Linked DNA regions of Macaca fascicularis. The protein of the gene in region 1 purifies or fractionates together with the protein of each later gene. This does not show direct contact. Links are inferred from orthologs where the notes say so. Each region holds a gene or a part of one and is shown in the gene's direction. Other genes may lie near its edges.

The links. The genes of interacting proteins can lie anywhere in the genome.
Region 2: the proteins of PEX19 (region 1) and PXMP2 purify together in Homo sapiens (affinity purification with mass spectrometry; 3 studies listed by BioGRID and IntAct, counting the BioPlex papers as one, with this or other methods). This does not show direct contact. The link is inferred for Macaca fascicularis from reciprocal best matches to the Homo sapiens genes PEX19 and PXMP2.
Region 3: the proteins of PEX19 (region 1) and NAT14 purify together in Homo sapiens (co-immunoprecipitation; 3 studies listed by BioGRID and IntAct, counting the BioPlex papers as one, with this or other methods). This does not show direct contact. The link is inferred for Macaca fascicularis from reciprocal best matches to the Homo sapiens genes PEX19 and NAT14.

Annotation. Positions count from the first base shown.
Region 1 is NC_088375.1:100,772,959-100,778,857, forward strand, and holds the start of PEX19 (peroxisomal biogenesis factor 19), read left to right. Parts: upstream 1-2,508; 5' UTR 2,509-2,520; coding exon 2,521-2,590; intron 2,591-4,005; coding exon 4,006-4,115; intron 4,116-4,535; coding exon 4,536-4,701; intron 4,702-5,459; coding exon 5,460-5,545; intron 5,546-5,758; coding exon 5,759-5,899. UniProt on the Homo sapiens protein: Necessary for early peroxisomal biogenesis. Acts both as a cytosolic chaperone and as an import receptor for peroxisomal membrane proteins (PMPs).
Region 2 is NC_088385.1:139,800,128-139,806,087, forward strand, and holds the start of PXMP2 (peroxisomal membrane protein 2), read left to right. Parts: upstream 1-2,277; 5' UTR 2,278-2,426; coding exon 2,427-2,548; intron 2,549-4,479; coding exon 4,480-4,593; intron 4,594-5,960. Other genes in the region: POLE (DNA polymerase epsilon catalytic subunit A), read right to left, coding at 2,011-2,072. UniProt on the Homo sapiens protein: Seems to be involved in pore-forming activity and may contribute to the unspecific permeability of the peroxisomal membrane.
Region 3 is NC_088393.1:63,431,908-63,437,800, forward strand, and holds NAT14 (probable N-acetyltransferase 14), read left to right. Parts: upstream 1-2,210; 5' UTR 2,211-2,258; intron 2,259-2,658; 5' UTR 2,659-2,706; coding exon 2,707-2,778; intron 2,779-3,428; coding exon 3,429-3,977; 3' UTR 3,978-4,586; downstream 4,587-5,893. Other genes in the region: ZNF628 (zinc finger protein 628), read left to right, coding at 1-1,409; soluble scavenger receptor cysteine-rich domain-containing protein SSC5D, read left to right, coding at 5,586-5,610. UniProt on the Homo sapiens protein: Probable acetyltransferase. May act as a transcription factor that regulates the expression of coproporphyrinogen oxidase by binding to a promoter regulatory element.

The DNA of each region.
Region 1 (5,899 bases):
AATCCCAGGCAAGAATTAGAATTTGATAAACTGGAGAGCCATTAAATCTTTAAGGACAGAGTGATATGAAAGTACTATAAAATACTGTTATTCAACAGTATTCGCTATACATTAGAAAGGCAGAAGGAGCAGTCAGTAGTAGGTCAGTAAATACTGAGATGAGATGTTAGGAGTATTAGTAGTAAAAATAGAAAAGCAGAAACAAGTTTAAGAAATAATGCAAAGAAAGAGTCATGCTTGTTTTTTACTCCATTTTAATTATCTATTATCTTTTAATTAACATGCTTATATTACATTAGTTTAAAGCCAATTGACTAGGTGTAGTGGCTCACATCTGTAATTCCAGTACTTTGAGAGGCCAAGGTGGACATATCACTTGAGGTCAGGAGTTAAAGACCAGCCTGGCCAACATGGTGAAACCCTGTCTCTACTAAAAATACAAAAATTAGCCGGGCATGGTGGCGCAAGCCTGTAGACCCAGCTACTCAGGTGGCTAAGACAGGAGAATCACTTGAACCCTGGAGATGGAGGCTGTAGTGAGCCAAAATTAAACCACTGCACTCCAGCCTGGGTGACAGTGAAACTCGTCTCAAAAAATAAAATAAAGCCAATAGAGATGCCTGTTGATAGACAAGTTTTCTTTTTTTTTAACGTGTTTGTTATACCTATAGCCATATTGGAGATCCACATGTAAGCAATTTGAATGAGAAACCCTGGAATAAATTATGTTGCAGGTATTGGGGAAACAAGTTTATCAGGAAAGGATTTGATTACAGAAGTTTAGAATTGTAAAGGACTTAGAAAGTGATTTAGTGGCAGAATTAGGGCTGGAATTTAGGCTTTATAACTTACAGTTCATAATATTTTTATCCCAAAACACACTACTTGTGGTCAGAAGGAAACAGGTTTTGCACAGATACGATTTTACATGTCTGTGCCCTGTCTGTGAAAGACATAGTAAGTCTTTCTGGTGCTTGATGCAGTACTCAAATGTGTGTTTGGGAAGCTAAGCATGAAAGTGATGAGGTGACTTAACACAGGAATTTTTTTCATTTAAAATTCTTACCTTGTGTCATACTTACTGTGTGTATATCTCATCATACCTGCGGCTCACCTCCACTTAGCTACCTTACAGCAGGGGGTGGTCCTGATTTATCTCTTTGTCCTTGCTGTGCCCAGAACAAGACCTAAATAATAGGTGCTCTCCAAGTGCTAAAACAGATCTGTATGTGAAACAGTTGCTACATTCTTACAGATCTGAATAGAACAATTCCAAAGGAGGAAAGGGACGTCTAGAGTTACCTCTATCTGAGCATCCCCGGTGTTCACTCAGTTGGAGGTTGGGTTCTGTGTGGAGAAAAGGAGATTGGTCAGGGAAAGCAAGTCTATTACTAACTACTACATTCTAATTGCCCTGCTCAGTCCAAGGTCCCAGATGCTCTCTTTCTAACATTGAGTTCTAAGTTCCTGGCCCTGTGTCCTTTAATCAAACAGTTCTAATAGAGAATAGGAAATGAGAGATGCCACTAGATTGGGCAGACAGATGTGCCTGATTAGGGACTGCAAGAGCAAAGAGTGGCCAATGAGTGCCTACTAAGTTTTAAACCCTAGCCTAGGAGTTGGGCTTTACAGCAGCGAAGACAACAGACGAAAATCTTCGCCTTCATAGTGTTTAAATTCTGCACGGTGGGGAGCGGAGAATAAACAAGCACGGTAGATAATATGTCAGATAGTGTTCAGTGTTAAGAAGAAAAGGAATGGCCAAGTAAAGTGTTTCAGAGAAGATAACATTTGAATGAAATAATGAAGTGAAGCCGGGCGCAGTGGCTCACGCCTGTAATCCCCAGCACTTTGGGAGGCTGAGGTGGGTGGATCACCTGAGGTCAGTAGTTCGAGACCAGCCTGGCTACCCAGACTGGCCAACAAGGTAAAACCCCGTCTCTACTAAAAATACAAAAATTAGCCTGATGTGGTGGTGCATGCCTGTAATCCCAGCTACACGGGAGGCTGAGGCAGGAGAATCGCTTGAACCCAGGAGGCCAAGGCTGCAGTGAGCCAAGATAGCGCCACTGCATTCCAGCCTAGGCGACAGAGCGAGACTCCGTCTCAACAAAAGAAGTGAGAGAAAGTAGTATGTTATGTACCATAATTGTCATATCAATCATATATGTATAGATTCTGGTTATTTGTAGGCAGTTTGTCTCAATCTAGCCTACTCATAGCTCAGGAAGAAATAATGAAAGAGCTTCGCCAGGTAATTTGGGAAGTTGAAAGGAGTCCGGGCCTCTAAAACCAGGCAGAAAATAACACTATCTTATCCTTAATTCTGTGTTTCACAGGCGAAAGGGGAAAAATACCCAAAACAGAAACTCAAAGCTTCCTGGCCCTTTAAAAATGGCGGTTCCGCACTGGCCAACAATACCATTGGTTGCCCGAGGCAGAAGAGGGCAGGAACGAAGGGGTGGAGGGCGTGGCGGCGCCGAGGGGTCCCGCCTCCTACGGCAAGTCGGAGGTAGCAAGATGGCGGCCGCTGAGGAAGACTGTGGTGTCGGGGCAGAAGCAGACAGGGAATTGGAGGAGCTTCTGGAAAGTAAGAGCCCATAGTGGGAAAGGCCCGAAGAGGGCAGTTGTGAGGACCCATTCCGGGCGTTAAGTGAACCTGAGGTATTAGGGACAGGGCGGGAGAGGATCTCCAAAGGTTAAATGGGGGCGGAGAGTCTGACCGCCAGCCCCCCAAAAAATCTCTGGGTCATCCTGCCCCACCTCCGCGACTGGAGCTGGGGAACTCACCTGGGGTCCCCCAGTGGTCCAGATTGTGGATGTTTCCGCAGGACGGCGTTTCATGATACCTCTCCAAACTCCTCTTTCTTTAGGTTACTAAGTTCTTAAAGTCCGACTTCAGCAGCAGCAGCAGCAGCATTTGGTTCTTGTTGGGTAGCGAACCACGCACTCACTGATTGCTTACATTAACTCCTAGCAAGCTCGTGGCCCATGCTGCTGCGCCTCGTCCTGCCTTCCTTGACATGAAAGACACTTTTCTCCTCGTAGTCCTTTTCTCTTTCTCTCGTTAGGCCCCTTAACAGTTCTTTCATCTTGTTAGTAGCTCAAGCGGACTCCTTTCCCTTATTTTGAGAAACTGAGGATGTGGCGATTTCAGGGGAAAGCAGTTCACCCTCCTGAAAGACGGTGGATGTTTTCTTAGCATTACTGTCCACTCCCCTGTTGGCTTCCTGCCCAGAGTGGGGCCAGTGCTCTCTCCCTGGGCCTGGCAAGCAGAATGGTGGTGAGGACACAGGCTTTTCAGGGCAGAGGTGAATTTGTAATCTCTTGCTCGATCACAGAGATGTGGGCAGGCAGAAGAATGAACAGAAACGCTGAGGAGTGCCAAGTGACTGTAAATTAGCCTACGGTTATCTGCAAAGATCAGACCAAAAGGAGCTCTAGGAGGTTGTGGGAGAGCACTAAACTGGAGAATAAGAGAAGATAGTTTAATGCCTTACCATGGAATGTAGTATGTGGTCCCTCAGTCTGTGCTGGTACCAGTACCAACAAGAAGCTGGGTGGGATGTCATGTGCCTTCTCACCAAGTTATTCCTTTTAGAGCTCCAGAGTGAGTTCAGAGGGATGAGGACATCTGTGTTCTCTACTCCTGTTGGGTATTTATTTGTATGGGATTTCTAGGGAATCATTAGGTTGTGGCAAGGGAGACACTATAGATGGAGATGTCTCTGCAGAAATTTTTAATCCTCTCCTCCCAGCTCTGAGATGGATACTTGTTCCACCGTAAGGGATTTCTTGCCTTTGCTCACAATAAATTAGGTAATCTGGAAGGAAGTAGGAGGCTCATTGAGGGTGGTCTGGGGAGGTGGGGGCCTCAAGGCGGAAAATTGAGGAAAGTTGGCAATTTGAAAAATCATATTCGTAATGCTTTGCCCAGAAACCACCCAGCCTTGCTTGCATCCTCATCTGTCGCCAACACACACACCATGTCTCTTGTCTCTGAAGGTGCTCTTGATGATTTCGATAAAGCCAAACCCTCCCCAGCACCCCCTTCTACCACCACGGCCCCTGATGCTTCGGGGCCCCAGAAGAGATCGCCAGGAGACACTGCCAAAGTATAAATTCCACCCCCTGAAGGGATGGGGAGGGGATGGGCATGCAGCTCTGAGCAGAGGTTGGGCAGGCCCCTATGGGCCAGAGGGGAATGGGGGAGGGTACCTTGGCCTCACATTGGTGAGTGCTCTTGCCAGCCTCAGTCCTTGTGAAATAAGGACTTGAGGTTGAGTGGAGGAATCTCAGAGTTCCTTGAAAAAATAGTAGGTTTAAATGGTTGGATTGGTATGCCATCCCATACCCTCTTTCAAAGACTAGATACCTTTTTTGCTATTCTCATTAGGAGCAGTAGTTAGAGTGTCCAGTGGAAGTGGGTAGGAGGGAAGTGCATTTCCCATAGCTACTGCCTGTGGCTTCTATCAGAGGCCAGGTGCAGTGTAGTTCTAAGTAAGAGATGCATTTCAGCCACCCTTCCCCCGCAGGATGCCCTCTTCGCTTCCCAAGAGAAGTTTTTCCAGGAACTATTCGACAGTGAACTGGCTTCTCAAGCCACTGCAGAGTTCGAGAAGGCAATGAAGGAGTTGGCTGAGGAAGAGCCCCACCTGGTGGAGCAGTTCCAAAAGCTCTCGGAGGCTGCGGGGAGAGTGGGTGAGGAGACCTTAGATACATGGAAATATCTGAACAGATTCTTAAGTCTTTGTTGCCTGAAAACACCAGAATTCTTAGTGAAGTTGATAGTAATCATGATGTCACAGCCATGGAATGGGTAAAGGCAATGAGAGAAGGGGTGGAAATCCCTCTTTTTTTTTTTTTTTTTTTTTTTTTTTGAGACGGAGTCTCGCTGTGTCTCCCAGGCTGGAGTGCAGTGGCGTGATCTCGGCTCACTGCAAGCTCCGCCTCCCGGGTTCACGCCATTCTCCCGCCTCAGCCTCCCAAGTAGCTGAGACTACAGGCGCCCGCCACCACGCCCGGCTAGTTTTTTGTATTTTTAGTAGAGACGGGGTTTCACCATGTTAGCCAGGATGGTCTCGATCTCTTGACCTCGTGATCCACCCGCCTCGGCCTCCCAAAGTGCTGGGATTACAGGCTTGAGCCACCGCGCCCGGCCGAAAATCCCTCTTAATGAAAAGGGGCGAGATAGGTTAGAAAGTAATAGAAAAGATTATTCAAAACTGACCATTTGAAAGGTCACAGTGTTATTGTGGGTATCATCATGGAGAATAAACTGACATAGAGTCCGTGTATTAAATAGATGTATGAAAAGACTATCAGGATAACCGCAGTTTTCCCAGATGGGGAGTGATAATGATTCACTAGTAAATGCTTCATATCCAAGCTGGTAACCAGTTCAGTCTAGGCAAGGAAACAAATTCCTAAATGACGCTGGCTTTTTAAATCTCTCCTAGGCAGTGATATGACCTCCCAACAAGAATTCACTTCTTGCCTAAAGGAGACACTAAGTGGATTAGCCAAAAATGCCACTGACCTTCAGGTGAGGAGAAAGTAGTAGGGTCCCACAAGGGGTCCACTCTCAGACACTTCTGCAGCAGAGTCTCAAAAGACAGATGCTTTGAGTATCATCCCAAGTCTGTTCCTGTCTTGTTTTGTTACAGGCAAGTTTAGGTAGTTTATCTTTCCCACCTGACAGAGTGTGAGCATCCCAAGAAGGTGGTATACCTGCTCACCTCTTACTTGTCCTATCTAGAACTCTGGCATGTCGGATGAAGAGCTGACCAAGGCCATGGAGGGGCTAGGCATGGACGAAGGGGATGGGGAAGGGAACATCCTCCCCATCATGCAGAGTATTATGCAGAACCTACTCTCCAAGGATGTGCTGTACCCATCA
Region 2 (5,960 bases), on another chromosome or scaffold:
AGCTGTGTATCTCACTTTTAATCCAGTGACAGTAAGAATTCTGAAAAATGGGGATAACAGTCACACAGAGAGCTACCATTGACTGGTTACTATACCACATTGTCCTAGTACTCCACATACGCTCTCATTCAGTTTTCACGACAGCCCCTAAGAGGGAGGCCACCGGTGTCCCCATTTCACAGAAGAAGAAATGCAGCACATAGCACCCACTGCTTCCTGGGGCACACTCACGTCCCAGGACTGTTTTAAGGATGAGATGAGGTAACCCACATACGGCATATAAGGTAAAAGCCATCACTTGTACTTATCCCAGCTGCAGCCTTCCCCCTGCCTGGAGGCTGTCACTGAGCTTGGGGCAGGGCAGTGGAGTGGAGAAGGGGAGGGCAGTCCTGGTCCTGAACCAGGGCAGTCAGTGAACGTCTCTAAGCAACAAGTTCCAACACACAAGGTAGATACTAAGGGTACCTACCCTCTCCAGGGCTTGCCTGAGGACCAAATGGGACTATGGATAGACAGCGATTAGCACAACAGCAGTTAGGGATCCTTACTAGTCGGTTTCTCCTCTGGGAAGAATTTTGTTCAGCTAAGTGTCTGTAAAAAGCTTCGCGTTCTCACGTTTCCTTTTTCTTTCTTTCTTTTTTTTTTTTGAGACAGAGTTTCGTTCTTTGTTGCCCAGGTTGGAGAAAAAAGGCGCCATCTCGGCTCACCGCAACCTCTGCCTACTAGGTTCAACGGATTCTCCTGTCTCAGCCTCCTGAGTAGCTGTGATTACAGGCACGCGCCACCACACCCGGCTAATTTTGTATTTTTTTAGTGGAGCCGGGGTTTCTCCGTGTCGTCCAGGCTGGTGTCGAACTCCTGACCTCAGGTGATCCGCCTGCCTTGGCCTCCCAAAGTGCTGGGATTACAGGCGTGAGCCACCCCGCCGGGCCTCACACATTTTCTGCTTATGGCAGAAGGTCAGGTCTCTGGTCATGTTTACCGTTTGCTGTGGCCACCAAGTAGCCGCGTCTTACCCTTGTTCTATTTTTTTTGAGACAGGGTCTGGCTCCGTCGCCCAGGCTGGAGTGCGGAGGCCCGATTCTGGCTCACAGCAGCCTCGACCTGCCGGGCTCAGGTGAACCTCCGGCCTCGGACTCCGGAGTATTAATAGCTGGGACCTCAGGCGCGCACCACCAGCCCGGCTAATTTTTCTTGTTTTTACAAGAGAAGGGCCGGGCGCGGGGGCTCACGCCTGTTATCCCAGCACTTTGGGAGGCGGAGGCGGGCGGATGACCTGAGGTCAGGAGTTCGAGACCAGCCTGGCCAACATGGTGCAACCCCGTCTCTACCAAAAATACAAAAACTAGCCGGGCGCGGTGGCAGGCGCCTGCAGTCCCAGCTACTCGGGAGGCTGAGTGAGGCAGCGGGATCGCCTGAACCCGGGAAGCGGAGGTTGCAGTGAGCCGAGATCGCGCCACTGCACTCCAGCCTGGGCGACAGAGCGGGACTCCCTGTCCAAAAAAATAAAATAAATAGAGGAGAACGGGTCTCGCTCTGTGGCCCAGGCTGATCTGGAACAGGATCCTGGGCTCCAGCGATCTGCCCGCCTCGGTCTCTCCCAGCGCCGGGCCCCCAGGCACGGTCCCCGGCCCGGCCCCTCCCCGCACCCTCCCCGGCCACGCGTCCACCCCGCAGGGCCAGGCCCGGGTCCCGCCGCTCTCATCGCCCCCGCCGCGCGGCAGGCCCCAAACGCAGCTGCGCGCAAGGCGAGGCCCGAAAAACCTCAGGAAGAGCCGAGCAGGGGAAGGCCGCGCGGCCCGCCTCGTTTCCCCGCGGGAAGCCGCGCCCGTAGCGCCTCCGCCCGCCCCGGGCCCCTCGGTCGGCTGTCGGGGCGCGCAGCCCTACCCCTGTCAGGCGCGGCGAGTGCGGGGCCCGCGTCTCCCTCCCGCCTCGGCGGCGCCACCCAAGCCCGGCCCCATGGCATCCTCCGAAGGGCCGGCCCGAGGGCCTCAGGAGTGCGCCCCTCACCTGCTGGCTTCGCCGTCCGCGCCCGGGTCCGCGCGCCGCCGCCAGCCGCTCCTCAGGGCCATGGAGCCGCAGGCTACACCCTCTGTTTCGCGGGAGAAATTTGGCGCGCTCCTACCCAGTCTCGCGAGAGCCGTAAGTGCCGCCGTCCATCAAGAGGCGCGCCCCGCCCCTCGCCCGCCCCCCGAGACGCTCCAATAGGCGCCGGCGCCCTGCGGGGGAGGTGGCCGGCAGGGACCGGGGAAAAGTGTGCGGAGGCGCGCGCGCCGCACCGTGGGGTTGGGACCGGGCGGCGCTGCGGACCGCGGTGCGGCCGGAAATGTCAGGCCTTCCCCATTCCGCGCTCCGCGCCTCGGGCTCCGCGCCCGGCCTGCCTGAGGTGGGGTCGATGCCCCCGGCAGCGCGGCGCTGGGGAGGCGATGGCGCCGGCCGCGTCCAGGCTGCGGGCCGAAGCCGGGCTCGGGGCGCTCCCGCGGCGGGCGCTCGCCCAGTACCTGCTTTTCCTGCGGCTCTACCCGGTGCTCACCAAGGCGGCCACCAGGTGAGCGGGGGCGCGGCCGGTGCGGGAATCGGACGCCGCCCCGGCCCCAGGTCGGCCGCAGTGGCGCGGGGCCTGGACAGGAGCGCGGGGCCGGGACCAGTCTGGGGGCGCGCCCGGGTCAGAGCCCCCGCAGCGGGCGCCCTCCGAGCCGGTGCTGAACTTCCCGCGGCGACACCCGCGTCCCCAGTCAGCGATTGTGAGGCGCCTCGCGGATCCCGCCCTCCCAGCGCGTGGAGGGCCCGCCCGGACCCCGGGGGCTCGGCGCTGAGGTTCCACCCAAGGACCCGACAGGGGCGCCGCGCACCCGGGGAAGCCACGGCCAGGGGAGCGCGTCCTCACGGCGCGGGTGCAGACAGGGCCGAGGGAGCGGGTCTGCGGGGCGCGGGTGAAGACACGGCCAGGGAGCGGGTCCGCATGGCGCGGGTGGAGACACGGCCAGGGAGCGGGTCCGCATGGCGCGGGTGGAGACACGGCCAGGGAGCGGGTCCGCATGGCGCGGGTGGAGACACGGCCAGGGAGCGGGTCCGCATGGCGCGGGTGGAGACACGGCCAGGGAGCGGGTCCGCATGGCGCGGGTGGAGACACGGCCAGGGAGCGGGTCCGCATGGCGCGGGTGGAGACAGGGCCAAGGGAGCGGGTCTGGGGGACTCGGGTCCGCACGGCGCGGGTGGAGACATGGCCAGGGAAGGTATTTTTTGAGAAGGTGACATTGAACAGGCTGTGTAAAGAAGTGGAGCAGAGGCTCTCCTGGCACAGGGAACAGCAGGGCAAAGGTCCCTGTTAGGTTTTGAAGGGAAGGCCGGCGTTAAAGAAAGGCTGGGAGAGGTGCAGCTTGGACTCAGTCCCGAGGGAGGGAAGATCTGTGTGTGGAGAACGTGAACCCTGAGCAAGAGGCAGGAGATGTGAAGGGAATCGCCAGGGATCTGATCCAGAAGGTGTCTAGGTCCGTGCTAGGAATTTTGGATTTTATAGTCCAGAGAGCTTCTCAGAAGGCAAATACAAACCAAGGCCTGGAGGGAGCCACTGGGCGTGTTCCACATTTTTATGGAAATTTTTATTGTGCTAATTGTAGATTCACAGTTACAAGACTAATATGGAGAGATCCCTTGTACACCTTCCCAGTGTCCCCCATTGGTTACATTCTGTGAAACTGCAGTGCAGTATCAACCAGGGCATGGCATGGACACAGTCCACAGATCCTATTCAGATTTCTCCATTTTTCTTGTAGTTGTATCTGTTCTGTACAGTTTTATCACATCTGTACGTTCACATGTTCACTACCACAGTCAAAATGCAGAACAGTGTCATGATAGGGCCGTCCTGTTGCCCTTTCATAACCACACAGCTTCCTTACTCCCAAACTGCAAAAGTTACAGTATAACATCACAGCCAGGAGGTTAACATTGATACTGGAAAGCCGCTTGTCCTTATCTATGTATGTAAGTCCACTGTCTCCACCTTTTTTTTTTTTTTTTTTTGAGACAGAGTCTCGCTCTGTCGCCCAGGCTGGAGTGCAGTGGTGCGATCTCCACTCACTGCAAGCTCCGCCTCCAGGGTTCACAACATTCTCCTGCCTCAGCCTCCCCAGTAGCTGGGACTACAGGCGCCCACCACCCTGCCTGGCTAATTTTTGTATTTTTAGTAGAGACGGGATTTCATCGTGTTAGCCAGGATGGAGTCGATCTCCTGACCTCGTGATCCGCCCACCTTGGCCTCCCACAGTGCTGGGATTACAGGTGTGAGCCGCCGAGCCCTGCAGTCTCCACCTTTTGATACAAGAACTATACATTGAGCCCCTTTAACAATAATTCCAACTCCCGCCGCTCCCGCATCTGCTGCATGGCCTCAGAACGGCCCTGCTCATTCACCTGTGGGAAGGGGACACCCTCCTGCTGGTCACTTCTGTTTTCTGATGACCTCCCTCTCCACAGTGGCATTTTGTCAGCACTTGGGAATTTCCTGGCCCAGATGATTGAGAAGAAGCGGAAAAAAGAACACTCTAGAAATCTAGATGTCGGTGGGCCTCTGAGATACGCTGTTTATGGGTGAGTGCCATACAAGGGGTGGGTTTACCCTGTAGCCGCTGAGTGCAACCAAGCTGGGCACCAAAACCAAGTAGTTGGAGTACTCTCATTTATAATATGATTTTTTAAAAAACATTGTAGTAATCATCATGGAAAAAAACTCGAATGGTTCATATAGTTTGTATGGCATATATACACGTATGTGGTTTTTCTGTTTTTTCTTTTTTTTTTTTGGAGACAGTCTCCCTCTGTCACACAGGCTTACTGCAACCTCTGCCTCCCCGGTTCAAGTGATTCTCCTGCCTCAGCCTCTGGAATAGCTGGGATTATAGCCATGCACTACCATGCCCAGCTAATTTTTGTATTTTTAGTAGAGATGGGGTTTCACCATGTTGGCCAGGCTGGTCTTGAACTCCTGACCTCAAGTGATCCACCCACCTCGCCCTCCCAAAGTGCTGGAATTACAGCCTCATATTTGTGGTTTTATCATGTTTCTTTTTGATTGGATGGGTGGGGGCGACTGTCTTAATTGGGCTGAGAGGCAAACTTGAGGGCAAGTAACTCAACTTAAAGTCAGACTTCAGGATTCAAAAACCCTGAAAGCGTCCTCGACTGGGCTCATGGAATAGGAAAACTGACTCCAATATGACCAATTAGTTTTTATTGTTATTTTCATAGTGTAAATATCCAGAAAAGAAATGCTTAGGTACCCTCAAAAATGTCCAGTTTCTGAACCACATTCTGAATTACAAAAGCACAGTGATTCAAGAGTTTTACTAATTTAATCCACCCTGAGCTCTTGGCCAACAATAATGTTACAGATGGATTATTTGAAGTATTTTCCAACTACAGTGATTTTTTTTTTTTTAATTCAGAATTCATGAAGATCATTTTTATGCTTACAAGCTTGCTAACTTGAATCATCATGGATTTTTCCATAATGTATTTAAAGAAGTAATCCCCCAAGAGGGGCGGGTGACAAGATCACCTAGCAGGCCTCATCCAAGTACAGTTTTCCCATCCCCAGGACTTCAGTCCCCTTCCCCACTGAGAATCCCTGCATAGGCCCCATCCCCAGGACTTCAGTCCCCTTCTCCACTGAGAATCCCTGCATAGGCCACATAACACCCTGTGACCGAGTGGGAAAACACACTGAGAACCACTTATTTAAAGACTGTCAACGTCACAAGTTGAAAGACCCCACTTTTTATTGCCAAATTTTATGGAACTGCAAGGCCTCTTGTCCCAGTAGATGTGACAGCTGGTTCCATTCTCTCCCAAGCACACAGGGGAATGATTAGTAGCAATGCACGCAAGCCAGAGTGCAGCACCAGGTCCCGCCCTTGCCAGTTAGCCTAGCGAGTTTGATGAAAAGCTCTACAACCAGG
Region 3 (5,893 bases), on another chromosome or scaffold:
AGCGGCCCTTCCGCTGTCCGCTCTGCCCCAAGACCTTCACCCACTCCTCCAACCTGCTGCTGCACCAGCGCACGCACTCAGCCGAGCGCCCCTTCACCTGCCCCATCTGCGGTCGCGGCTTCGTTATGGCCGCCTACCTGCAGCGGCACCTGAGGACGCACGCCCCGGCCAACACGGCTCCCAGCACCACAGCCCCCGCCGCCGGCTCCCAGCCCCCTGCTCCACTGGCTGCCGCCCGGGCCCCGCCAGCCACCCAAGATGTCCATGTCCTGCCCCACCTCCAGGCCACGCTCTCCCTCGAGGTGGCGGGGGGCACGGCCCAGGCCCCGAGCTTGGGGCCAGCAGCGCCCAACTCTCAGACGTTCCTCCTGGTGCAAACTGCCCAGGGCCTCCAGCTGATCCCTAGCAGCGTGCAACCCCCTACACCTCCGCCCCCTCCTGCACCTCCCAAGCTCATCCTGCTGCCCTCCTCCAGTGCTGGGGCTGGGAGCGGCCGTGCAAGGCAGGGCCCGCGGGCAGTGGGGAAAGCCAGCCAGGGGGCGGGAGTGGTCTGGCTGCCAGGCCCTGGGGGTCTAGGGGTGCAGGGAGCGGCCAGCGCAGGGGCCAGCGGGGCAGCGCAGAGCCTCATCGTTCTGCAGAATGTGGGGGGTGGGGAGGCAGGGCCACAGGAAGTGAGTGGGGTGCAGCTCCAGTCCCTCCGGCCAGCCCCAGAAGTAACCACGGTCCAGCTCCAGCCAGCACAGGAGGTGACCACGGTCCAGCTTCAGCCAGCACAGGAAGTAACCACGGTCCAGCTCCAGCCAGCACAGGAGGTGACCACGGTCCAGCTCCAGCCTGTGGCCGGCCAGCTTTCCAATTCCAGTGGGGGAGCTGTGGCTACTGAGGCGCCCAACCTGCTGGTTGTTCAGAGCGGAGCAGCTGAGGAGTTGCTCACGGGCCCCGGCCCCGGGGAGGCGGGGGATGGTGAGGCCAGCACCGGTGTGGTCCAGGATGTCCTCTTTGAGACACTCCAGACGGACGAGGGCTTGCAGAGCGTGCTAGTGCTGAGCGGGGCCGATGGCGAGCAGACCCAGCTCTGCGTACAGGAGGTAGAAACCCTTTCCCCTGGGCTGACCGAGCCGCCTGCCACCGGCCCACCCGGACAGAAACTCCTCATCATCCGCAGCGCCCCAGCCACTGAGTTGCTGGACAGCAGCAGCACTGGAGGAGGCGCCGCCACGCTGCAGCTCCTGGCCCCACCGCCCTCAGGCCCAGCCTCGGGCCCCGCGGGGCTTCCCGCGGCTCCAGCCTCCCAGATGGTACAAGTGGTCCCCGCAGGAGCTGGGCCTGGTGTTATGACCCCGCAGGGCCTGCCCTCCATCCAGATTGTCCAGACTCTACCCGCAGTCCAGCTGGTGCACACGTTTTGAGGAGAGCCAGTGATTCCCCTCCCGCCCCACACAGAGACCCCGACTCACTGCCAGCCGGGGCGGGGCGGGGCGGGGTGCTGCAGGCTGGCCTTGCCTAATAAAGACCCGAGTCTCCCCGCCTGTGTTCTGTTTTCCTGAGGGGAGCGGAGGGGGAAAGTCATGGTCCTAGCCCCCGCCTGGGAGCGTGGAGTCTTAACTCGTGCGTCCTGGGTCAGCGTCCTGGGGCCAGCCACTACGTGGGGCTCAGTTCCCCTGTCCTGAAACCAAAAGACGCAGGGGTCATTACAGTGGGGAGGTGGTGACATCTGACTCCAGGGAGCGCCACTTGTTCACTGTAGGTCGCCCTGCTGCACCCCTCGTCTGAGAAATAGGGGGATCCTTATGCGGGAGGGCCCTGCGAGCCCGGGCGCCCCGTGGGGGGAATGGGGTCCCTGGGGATGGGGGGGTGGGGTGCCGCTGGGCTGGGGGATGCTGAGCGCGGCACCCATGAGAATCCACCCGCGGGCATCGCTGCCCCGCGCTCAGGTTGCTCAGCAACGAGGGAACGTGGGGCGGGAGCTCGCGCTGGTCCCCAGCCCGCCGCCCGTCTCCTGCCGGCGCCCGCTGCCCTTTTTCCCCGGGTCCCCTTTCCCCGTTGCTCCTTCTCTAGGGATAGGAGAGGTCACCTCCCGGCCAGCCGCAGGGTCACTGCTCCCCGCCCGCCCTCCCGGGAGCTTAGCAACGGTTGCTACGACCCGCAGCGGGCAACGCCCCGCCCCCAGCGCGCGCGGTCTGACGTCACTTCCGCCGACGACCCCCTCCAGACCCGCTCCCGAAACCCTGTCAAAGGACCAAAGGCGACCCGTGCAGGTGCTTGCGGGTCCTTGTTCTTGTGGCGCGGGACGGGGACGACTGTGGGGGAGGGGGCGCTGGGGACCGGGGCGGAGCGAGCGTGGTCCGTTCTCCGGCATGTGGGGAGGGGGCTCGTGGCCCCGTGCCTGGGAGGGAGCCCCGTGCTGCAAAGTGTGGGCGTCCACAGCGTGTTTAGGAGTGTAGATCGCTGAGTAATACGGGGGAGGGGGGTCCTGGAGACTAGCAAGGTCGCTGAGTATTGTGGGGGGCGCCTGTCCTGCCCAGAGCCTCGCTTGTGGGTCCCGAGGGCTCTCATTGTCCTGATCGGGGAAGTGCTGCTGCTGCTGCTACCCACCCCTCGGGGGGCTTTGGGGACAGAGGTGCCCCCCTGGCGCTGACCTGCTTGTGTTCTCACCAGGTGCACGACGCCAGCTCCCTTCTTGGGGGCGGGGGCCTGGGGGCTGCCATGGCCCCCAGCCACCTGTCAGTGCGGGAGATGAGGGAGGATGAGAAGCCCCTGGTGCTGGAGATGCTGAAGGTGAGAGGCAGGGGCCCCAGGGGGCCTGGGAGTGGCTGGAAGCGGGGGCATTGCAAGTGGATTCAGCCACCCCCTCCCACCCACCTGAGCCAGCCTGAACCCCCGGAGCGGGATCTTTTCTTCCTGGTCCTCAGCCGCCCTGGGGGCCGGGAAGGTGTTCAGCAGCTGGAGGTGCTGCTGAAAGCTGCAGCACGTGTGGCAGCCGGGGGCTCACCCCCCAGCCCTACTGGGACCGCAGCACTAACGCCCTTCCTAGTCTCGCATCTCCAGAGGGCCCGGCACTCCAGCGCAACAGCCAGCTCTGTGCCTCCGACCCCAGCTCTTCAAAGCATAGCCAGCCCCCCAGTCTAGCCTAGCAGCCCCCCTCCAGCCTCCACTCCAGCCTGAGGCAGGCTCCCTGTCCCTACTTTCCTGGCGCCTCACTGCGGCATTGCTACTGAATTGAGTGCCCCCACAGCTCCTGATTCATTCTTCCATCCATCATTCACTCTCGTTCATTCACTCCACACCCAGCGTGCCACACTGGTGACCATGGGACTGTGCTGCTTTCCCTTCCCATTTGGGAGCCCTCGCCCCACCCCGGGCAGGGTCTACCTCTCTCTAGGAGGCCCTAGTGTTTTGGATGGCTGAGCCACCCCTCCTGCCCACAGGCCGGCGTGAAGGACACGGAAAACCGCGTGGCCCTCCATGCCTTGACACGGCCGCCGGCCCTGCTCCTCCTGGCGGCGGCCAGCAGCGGCCTGCGCTTTGTCCTGGCCTCCTTCGCCCTGGCCCTCCTCCTGCCGGTGTTCCTGGCTGTGACTGCGGTGAAGCTGGGCCTGCGGGCCCGATGGGGCTCACTGCCTCCACCGGGTGGCCTGGGGGGGCCCTGGGTGGCCGTGCGGGGCTCCGGTGACGTGTGTGGGGTCCTGGCCCTGGCCCCTGGCACGAACGCGGGGGACGGGGCCCGGGTCACCCGCCTGTCTGTCTCTCGCTGGCACCGCCGCCGGGGCGTGGGCAGGAGGCTGCTGGCCTTCGCGGAGGCCCGGGCTCGGGCCTGGGCTGGGGGCATGGGGGAGCCCCAGGCCCGGCTCGTGGTCCCCGTGGCTGTGGCTGCCTGGGGAGTGGCGGGGATGCTGGAGGGCTGCGGCTACCAGGCCGAGGGGGGCTGGGGCTGCCTGGGCTACACGCTGGTGAGGGAATTCAGCAAAGACCTGTGAGGCTACAGGCTGACAGCCAGGGCAGGGAAGGAGGGAGGGGCGCCAGCACCTGAAGAGCGCCTACTGTGTGCAGGTACTTTTACGTGCTCTCCCTCGGTGAGTCCTCAGCCACCCAGGGCCCAGAAACAGAGGCCTGCCGAGGGGAGGAGCCTGGCCTGTGCCCGGCAGTCGGCAGTGTGAGGTCTGGAGTGTTTGAGCTTCTAAGAGTGAAATGACTCCTTTTCCTTCCTGGCCCTCAGGGGCCTCTCGAGGTCAGCCTCTCCAAAACCCCTACCTCAGCTCTGTCTGCACTGAGAAATCTCCCCGGTGGATGTCTGCAAAGTCTGTGCCCCAAGCCTGGGAGAGCTATCTGGGGAGGGGGAGAGGAGGCCCAGCAGAATATGCCCTCGAGTTAGGGTTTGCGACTCCGCCTCCCTGGGACCCAGATTGGGTCAGATGCCTGTGCTTGGAGGGGACAAGGTTGACTGCTTAGCGGGCGCGGCGCACAGGGCTGCCAGGCCTGGCCCCTCTCCGGGAAGGTCGGTCGAGAGCTGAGATGGGCAGCCCTGTCCCTTCCCCCAGACCCATCTGGTTTTTTCCACCGTTTGTTAATAAAGCCTGGAACCGCTGTGTGCCTGTCTCATCTCTGATGCCTTTCCCAGTCTGTCTCCGGACACCCCCCGCCCATTTCTGTCTGGCTCCTCCTTTCCCCAGTTAACGTTAATTGTTGGGGGGCGGTGCTGGACCGGGAGAAGGGGAGGCTGTGAGCTCAGGGGCAGCCCTGGGCCCTGCCAGCCCTTCTGAGTCACGCTCCCTATTACCGAATTTTTTCCACCTCACAGCTGCCTGGTGTGCAGGGAGTGGGGTGTGTGTGAGTGTGTGGAGGAGTGTGTGGAGCCCCTCCCCTTCCCAAGCCTTGACCCTCGTGCTGCTTATCCCCCGACCCCAGCTCCCTCTGGGACGGTGAAGTTCAAACTCTCCTCTCTCAGCTGGGGACTGCGGGCTTCACACTCAGATCCACCAGTGACGGGGAGGACTGGAGGGACGGGTCTTTCAGTCTCTTTTCCTAACCCAGGAAGTCCCTCCTGGTGTCTGGCTGCAAATCTTCTTGCTGCTGCACCAAGAGCCCCTGGGTCTGCCCAAGCCCCAACCCTAGCAGCAGTCTCAGTGGATTTCCCTGACCAGACAAGAGAGAAGACAGGTGGGCGCCCTCTCCTGCTCGTGCTGCACCCCCACGCACACGTCCCCCAGCCCCTGTCCTGCGCCTTCCTGCAGCCAGCCACCCCCTGAGCATCTCTGAGCACAGCACTTCGCTGGCTGCAGCACGCCTGGCCGTCGTCTCCGTCTCCCGTGTGGGTGTCTGCAGTTGGACACCCTCCCTCCCGCCCGCCACCCCCCTCCCCCCCATGCCTGAGCCGCCGGCCAGCCCCCTCCCGCCCCCCCTGTCCCCTGCCGCCTCCCTGCAGCCTCTTTCTTTCTCCTGGCAAAGTGTCCAGCCCTGCCTGCTTCTCCTCGGGCCTGGGCGCCTCCGGCAGGCGCTTCCCTCCCTCCCTCTCTCCCCAGCTGCCTCCTCCTCTTCTCTCCCGCTCTCCTTCCCCTTTCACCCCATCCCCTGCCCTGGCTGCAACCATGAGGGTCTTGGCCTGCCTCCTTGGTGAGTGATCCATTCTCCTTGGGGACTCAGGGGGCCTAGGCCCCCACCTCTGACCCCTTAGCTTATCCAGTTTAGAGATTCAAACTTCCGGGACTGGTCCCTGGTGCTCCTGCACACCCTGACATCCCTTCTAAGGATCCCCGCCTGATCTGCTCAGCCTTCTGCGAGCCCAGAAGCCCAAGGGACCTGCCCCCTGCCCGCCCCCCAGCCCTGACCCTGCAGGGGATGTCCCGGACACCTGACCTTTAGCCAAGCCCATGTGAGAGTACCAAAGCCGGGGTCC